Danio rerio: one gene and its partner. The protein of the gene in region 1 purifies or fractionates together with the protein of each later gene. This does not show direct contact. Links are inferred from orthologs where the notes say so. Each region holds a gene or a part of one and is shown in the gene's direction. Other genes may lie near its edges.

The links. Proteins that work in one complex are often made in the same cells at the same time.
Region 2: the proteins of polr3k (region 1) and pdrg1 purify together in Homo sapiens (affinity purification with mass spectrometry; 3 studies listed by BioGRID and IntAct, with this or other methods). This does not show direct contact. The link is inferred for Danio rerio from reciprocal best matches to the Homo sapiens genes POLR3K and PDRG1.

Annotation. Positions count from the first base shown.
Region 1 is NC_133178.1:45,547,173-45,550,931, forward strand, and holds the start of polr3k (DNA-directed RNA polymerase III subunit RPC10), read left to right. Parts: upstream 1-1,119; 5' UTR 1,120-1,244; coding exon 1,245-1,355; intron 1,356-3,116; coding exon 3,117-3,204; intron 3,205-3,759. Other genes in the region: snrnp25 (U11/U12 small nuclear ribonucleoprotein 25 kDa protein), read right to left, coding at 509-700. UniProt on the Homo sapiens protein: Core component of RNA polymerase III (Pol III) which synthesizes small non-coding RNAs using the four ribonucleoside triphosphates as substrates. Can mediate Pol I proofreading of the nascent RNA transcript.
Region 2 is NC_133186.1:392,421-396,179, forward strand, and holds the start of pdrg1 (p53 and DNA damage-regulated protein 1), read left to right. Parts: upstream 1-1,237; 5' UTR 1,238-1,272; coding exon 1,273-1,356; intron 1,357-1,441; coding exon 1,442-1,514; intron 1,515-2,829; coding exon 2,830-2,904; intron 2,905-2,998; coding exon 2,999-3,079; intron 3,080-3,759. UniProt on the Homo sapiens protein: May play a role in chaperone-mediated protein folding.

The DNA of each region.
Region 1 (3,759 bases):
ACTTTACTCAACAGTTTCTTCTCCTCAGTGTATTGCATGTGTTCACGAGTGGTGTGCACTTATGTACTGACTATGACTTCCTTAGTTTGAAACAATTCACAGACACATTTGAGGTAATAAGCAAGTCAGAGGTGCAACCAAACGCGGCACATAAATGTGAGCATTATACTGACACAGAGGAGAAGAAACTGTTGAAAAAAAATCTGTAGAATATAGAAGATTTTAAGCTGGAACTATTACCCTCTAGTATTTACAACTACATTATCAGCTATTCACAACCTGGACAAACAGCTCTGAGGAAGATTTTAAATATATTAAACTCAAAGTGATGGCGCTTCTTGACCACCATTATATAGATAACGTACATAGGAAAACATAGTTCTCAACTTAAAAAAAAAACGTATTTTCTGTTCTACTTAAGAACAGAATCTTGGGATGTCAATTAACCGAACATTTTAATATCTGGGTGAATTGTCCGTTTAAAACAGCCCCTTGACTGCATGTACACCTGAATGGGCAGGTCACACAGAAGCGGGTCCTGCACTATGAGAGCCAGCCCTTCTTCAAAGATGTCCAGAATTTCTGAGTGTGGAAGAGCCTCCTCGTCTTCTTCCTCTTCGTGCTCCTCTTTTATTTCATCTTCCACAGTTTTCTCCTCTAACTCTTTTTTGAGCTCGGTTTCGTCCTTTATTTCGTCCATTTTATCTTCAAACGTCTTGTTTTGAGGGTATAGAAATCCAAGACTTATAAAAAAGTCACTAAGCGTTAATAGTTAACATAACTACAATTTCGTAAAAAAACTGTACGCCTTTTGCAGAAGCTTATTGTATTAAAAATTGTAACTTTAACAATTTGAGCCGTTCCAGCATTTCTTTTTACATTTCATTTTTATAAACACGCTGTCGGAATATTTCAGTGATGCACCCGACTTTAGTTCCGCATAGGTTTTTTATGATTCACATTCTTTATTACAATAACAATCTTCTATTAAAATATTTTTTAATCAGCATTAATATATTCGTTGACATTTTCATATATATTTAAGTTTAATATATACAACAGAAACAGTGTTCATCCTTGTCTATATTTCGTTTTATGGCGAGCCAATAATACAGAGGCACATTGATTGTCATGTGCTTCCTGTAGCGACTTAGAAAGGACTGTGTGTAAATACCAACTTCAGTTGCATCAGAAAGAAACTATAACTGTATTTACTACGTAACATAATCTATGACTGTTTGAAAATGCTCCTGTTTTGTCCGACATGTGGGAATGTGTTAATCGTGGAAGAAGGACAGCGATGCTTTAGATTCGCGTGTAACACATGTCCATATGTGCACAACATCACGAGGAAGGTAATGCATAACACCGGTTATGGAAATTTGTATCTAATAAGCGTTTGGAACGTTTGATTCGAACGCATTAAAGTTCGACGGAACGCCGACATTTAAAAGTTCGATTCGAATGAAACGAAAGAAATGACTTGATTCGATAATATGAGAACGTGTGAGGAACATCTGATGAGATCAATGTTTCTAACATTACAAATTATATAACAAAAATAGATTTGAGTGAGGGAGTGTTTATGTTCTATCAAACATTGCTTTCAGAGCATGATAAATAACGCTGGGTTACTGAGTAGTTACTTAAATGAAATGGTTAAATGATTATAAGATTGTATTGTACTTTAAAATGCTCTTTATTTCATCACGTTATTATATTTATGTATAAAATTTACAGTTTTAGAATAAATTCTCATTAAAAGATATTTTGAATAATGCTGGCACCCATTTTCTACCATAGTAGGAAATAAGAGTTGATTGAAGTCAATGGATCCCAGCAACATTCTTCAAAATATCTTCTTTTGTTTAACAGAAGATATAAACTTACTCAATGTACTTAATAAACCAAGAACTTCGTTTATATTATCTTGAAAACGTAGGAATTAAAAATATTTTAGAAATTTTTTAGAAATATTGTTATAGCTTCAGGTGGATAAACATCTGGATACTTAAAAGTTTATATTTGATGTCACTTCATAGATACTTATGTATGTGTGTCTTATCATCAAATGTTCATTCATAAATTGCACATACTTCTGAATTAAATCAGCCACAGTGCCACACGCAGGTTAACATTTTACCACCACTCTTTACTTCTCTTGTGTCTATGAACTCCGTAACATTACAAAACTTCCCATCATGCCACCTGTTTCCCGTCTTAAAGACACAGATGCAATTATAGCACATGACAATACTAACTTCAGAATCATAACACAAAACCTGGATAAATAAATCACCTCTATAAACTACTGACATTGTTTTTAAAAGATAGCTCTTAAAAACTCATTTTTGCATCCCCCAAAATGCTGTTGTGCAAACAAATGGCCAAAACACATACAAGTTTTCAATGCTTAGTTGGTCTGTAAATGTAATTGGCTGTTAAGTGAAAAAGTCAATTTCAAACTCTGATTAGAATTCAAAATGACGCTGTTTTAGACACTGGTAACAACTGTATTTATACAGTGACATATTAAAGAAGAGCCACTTGTCATAGTATTTTTGCTATTTATGTCATTGATAGTTTTTTTCAACATTCCGCATATATATTCTTTAAAGTCTGTGTGAAATCCAAATTTACAGTGTTTATTTTACAAGCACACAATGCTATTCTTTAGGTAAATGATAAATCCATGCAAGCTAATTCACCGAAAAAAAAAATCTTTGTTCTGATAATCTTCAAAGTCTGACCATTTGCTCTGGCGTTTGGAGTGGCAGTCCTTCTCTGATGATGTCAGTTTGGCAGATGCATCCACAATATTCCTAACCACGCCCCTCTTACCTTTAGTTGATGAGGGAATGATGTGCAAAAAGAAAGCCCCGCCCCCTACTCAATATGCAGTTTCAGTTTGAGGTCCTTCAACATACTAAAATAAGTCTCAGCAACTTGCAGTAAAATTAAAAACACTTATAAATCACCTTGAACCATCCTTGTTTTTATTAGTATCTAACAATTGAAGCTTGTTTCTATGAGGGTTAGGTTTATGGTCAGGCATAGACAGTATCATTGACCTGATAAAAAAATAGGAAAACAAACCTGTTTATGTGCTTTAACAGGTAAACAACAGAAAGTACCCCAAACTGAAGGAGGTTGATGATGTTCTTGGAGGATCTGCTGCTTGGGAAAATGTGGATTCCACTGCAGGTAAACAAATGAAACTTGAAAAGTAAAGTTTGCTCACAAACTTATGGTGGATTGACTGAGACTAGTCTGAAAGTTTGAAGTAGTTTTAAAGTTTAATTAATTGAAATAGTTTTTAAGAATTTTGAAACAGTCGGCATAGATTGATAACTACATATAGGTCAGCATGTATCTAGTATGGATTGGTATGTTTTAGTATAGATTGGTATATGGTTAGTATGTTTCTAGTGTGGATTAGATTATTATAGTATGTTTCTAGTCTGGATTGGTATATTATTAGTATGTTTGTTAGTATGTTTCTAGTATGGATTTGTGTGTCCTTAGTATGTTTCTAGTGTGGTTTATGTCTCTAGTATAGATTGGTATATTGTTAGTATGTTTTAGTGTGGGTTAGTATATTTTTAGTATGTTTTAGTATGGATTGGTGTGTCCGTTAGTATGTTTCTAGTATAGATTGGTATATTGTTTGTATGTTTCTAGTATGGATTAGTATATTTTTATTATGTTTTATGGTATGAATTGGTGTGGCCTTGGTTTGTTTTTTAATGTGGTTTATTA
Region 2 (3,759 bases), on another chromosome or scaffold:
AATAACAGAACAGCCACTACTGGGGAGGCGCGACTAAAGATATTATGGCCCCATCTGATTGATCTAATTTAGATAAACAATCAATGAAAAAGAATGTATATTGCAAATACTAATATTGCGATAACAATAATATTATGCATTTATTTATATTTGTATTGTGAATGAAGATAAATATACTGTGATGTATTTATTCAGAAATGAAGATTTGAAGTGTTGAGTCTGCTCATGATTAGCCCCGGCTCCTCCATCCCACTGAGAAGCAGCCATCATCTCACATTGTGTGTAACTTGTTATTTTCCTCATTCTCTGCCTGACTCATACGGTGATTGTGATGATCATAAATACAGTTTTAAGCTCTTTGCAATCCTCTTGACATGGGAGGAGTTACTCGAACATGCAAGAGCCACATCCAGAGTATGTCCAGATATTTTAAACAAAAGATTATTTTCTTACAAACACTATCTGCTGCCAGTTACTGCTGAGCACAACACATGCAGATTATTAATAGGTTCATTAACATTCATTCATTCATTTTCTTTTTCAGCTTAGTCCCTTTATTAATCAGGGGTCACCACAGCGGAATGAACTGCCAACTTATCCAGCATATGTTTTTCACAGAAGATGCCCTTCCAGCTGCAACCCATCTCTGGGAAACACCCATACACACTCATTCCCACACATACACTACGGACAATTTAGCCTACCCAATTCCCCTATAAGCGCATGTGTTTGGACTGTGGGGGAAACCGGAGCACCCAGAGGGAACCCACACCAACCCGGGGAGAACGTGCAAACTCCACACAGAAACACCAACTGACCCAGCCGAGGCTCGAACCAGAGACCTTCTTGCTGTAAGGCGACAGTGCTACCTACTGCGCCACCGCCTCACCGGTTTATTAATGTTATTTTTTAATTTTAATTAATTTTAATTTAATTTATTTTGTCAGCAGCAAACGTCCATCTATACAGACAGTTTTGACAATAATTATTAATAATTATTTATAAAACTGAACCATAGTTGAACATTTATTTAGTTAGCATTTCCTGTTACGTTTTAGCAGTTTTCTTATTGCTGCGTTTTTGAGTCATTTTTTTTCCTGAAGAGTTTTTTACTTTACTTTACGAATATCAGGTTTGTTTTCCTCGTTGTGGATCTCACATCTGAAGTCGGAGCTGATGGTCGCTGTGAGCCGGAACGAAAATACAGCACAACTTGTTTCCACTCTCAGTCGGACTTATTTCGTCTAGCGCATAACACACGCACAGTTCAGCATGGACGAAAGCGCGCAGCGGGTACTGGAGCATCTGACTGAGGTAGAGGTTGCTGCAGAAGACATACTCACCGACAAACAACAGGTGCGATTGAGTTATAGGAGCAGTCAATTATCGGGTAATTTCTGTTTTATATGTGGTGTTTATTGAAGTGGTTGACATGTGACAGATTGTGGATCTGGATGTGCGGAGAAACAGAAACCGAGAAGCTCTCAGCGCGTTAAGAAACAACTCACCAAACGGCGAGTACAGACTACAGAATACTGGTTTATAATGCATTAATGGCACATATGCTTGGTGTTGGATGCAGTGTCATGCGTATAAAACTTGTACTACGTATAAAGCACATATATAAGTACACGTATCTTCCAAAGTAATAAATATTTCATTTATAATGTGTCAGTAATAGGGTTATTAAGCTTATAACCACACCTAATGTAACACCCCGGTATGTTTACTACAGGTTTATTTTTTGTAATTTACCCTAGAATGTTTAATTAACTTGTTTTACTCATGATTTATCAGTTCAGTTCACTATGTTGTCATTTTAGTTTTTATGGCTTGAATTTTTGCACCTTTTTTTGTGAATATGGGTTTAAAAAATCATCCTATGGGTATCCAAAATCTAATAATTTACTAATATTTAATATGATTGTATTATATATGTAATATTAGGGATATTCAAACAAAGAAAAGTAAGTTATCATGACTCCAACCACTGAAAACACACAACTTTTTTATATTTACAAAGTTTTTTTTTTTTTGGCACATTTGGGCTCAGTCCCTTTAGTCATTAGGGGTCGCCACAGTGGAATGAACTAAGTTTTCCAACTATTCCAGCACATGCTTTACACAGCGGATACCCTTCTAGCTGCAATCCATCACTGGGAAACACCCATACATACTCATTCACACACTCATACACTATGGCCAGTGTAGTTGATCAGTTCCCCTATAGCGCATGTGTCTGGACTGTGGGGGAAACCGGAGCACCAGGGAGGAAACCCAAGTCAACACAGGGAGAACATGCAAACTCCACATAGAAACACCAACTGACCCAGCTGGGACTCAAACCAGAGACCTTCTTGCTGTCAGGCCACAGTGCTAACCACTGAGCCATCATGTCGCCCTAATATAAATTCAGAAAACTGTTAATTATAAATAGTGAAATCATATTAGCAGCCAATGACTATCACAGTCCAGTATTGTTCACAGTCAGCTCAATAGAGCGGATGTTGTTTTGAAGTCATATTTACATGCCATTTCTGACCAAATATTCAAAGTAGCATAATAAACATTATAGAGAGGGAGTCACAAGCTGACACTGTTGAAATGAATGAATGTGTGTGTATAAAACAAACTTTACCTCAATAAACACATATTGTATTTTACATAAGAAGATGTTCAGAACAAAATAAACACAGATTTCTTCTACAAAGAGCAAAACTAATAGATGATGCCATTTGCTCTGTAATCTTATTTTGTTTGCCTAATGCTGGTTCTCATTTGAAGTTTGTCTCTGCACATGACAATAAAATTGAATCCGATCTAATCTAGATAATGTAAAGGTGTGTTTTGGAAATATGTTCATCAAATTCCCTCAAGAAAGCACCAGATCAATGATCCTGAAAGGTGAGTGTGTCTTTTTCAGCTGTGCTTTTGTGTGAATAACCCTTCACATGTGCCACTGTGTTTAATAAATGAGCTGTTCTACTGTTCCTGACAGACCAAGAGCAGCTTGATAAGGAAATAACAGACCTCCGCACACGACTGAAAGCGAAAGTGAACCGTCTCAATGAGCTACAAGGTAGAGCTGCTTCATCAGTCTCTTGCTCAGTCATACTTATAAATGGTGTAAACATCTGTGCCGAAGACAAGACGTGTTATTTAGTCTGCGTCTTAGTATTTTTATGTACTTAAAAAGCATTTATATTAGTGCTGGACAAAGATTAACCACATCCAAAATAAAAGTTTATTTGTGATGTTTGTGTGTAATATTCATTCATTCATTTTCTTGTCGGCTTAGTCTCTTTATTATTCCATGGTCGCCACAGTGGAATGAACCGACAACTTACCCAGCAAGTTTTTACGCAGCGGATGCCCTTCCATCTCTGGGAAACATCCACACACATTCACACACACAATCATACACTGCGGAGAATTTAGCCTACCCAATTCACCTGTACCGCATGTGTTTGGACTGTGGGGGAAACCGGAGCGCCCAGAGGAAACCCACGCGAACGCAGGGAGAACATGCAAACTCCACACAGAAACGCCAGCTGAGCCGAGGTTCGGCCCAGCGACCTTCTTGCTGTGAGGCGACAGCACTACCTACTGCGCCACTGCTTCGCCCGTGTGTGTATTATATTTATATTTATTATATATTTATGATACTTGCATACATGTAAACAAAACTACAAAACTATTTTGTTACATAGATATTTAAATTTATGGCTACACTTTACAATAAGGTTCATTAGTTAATGC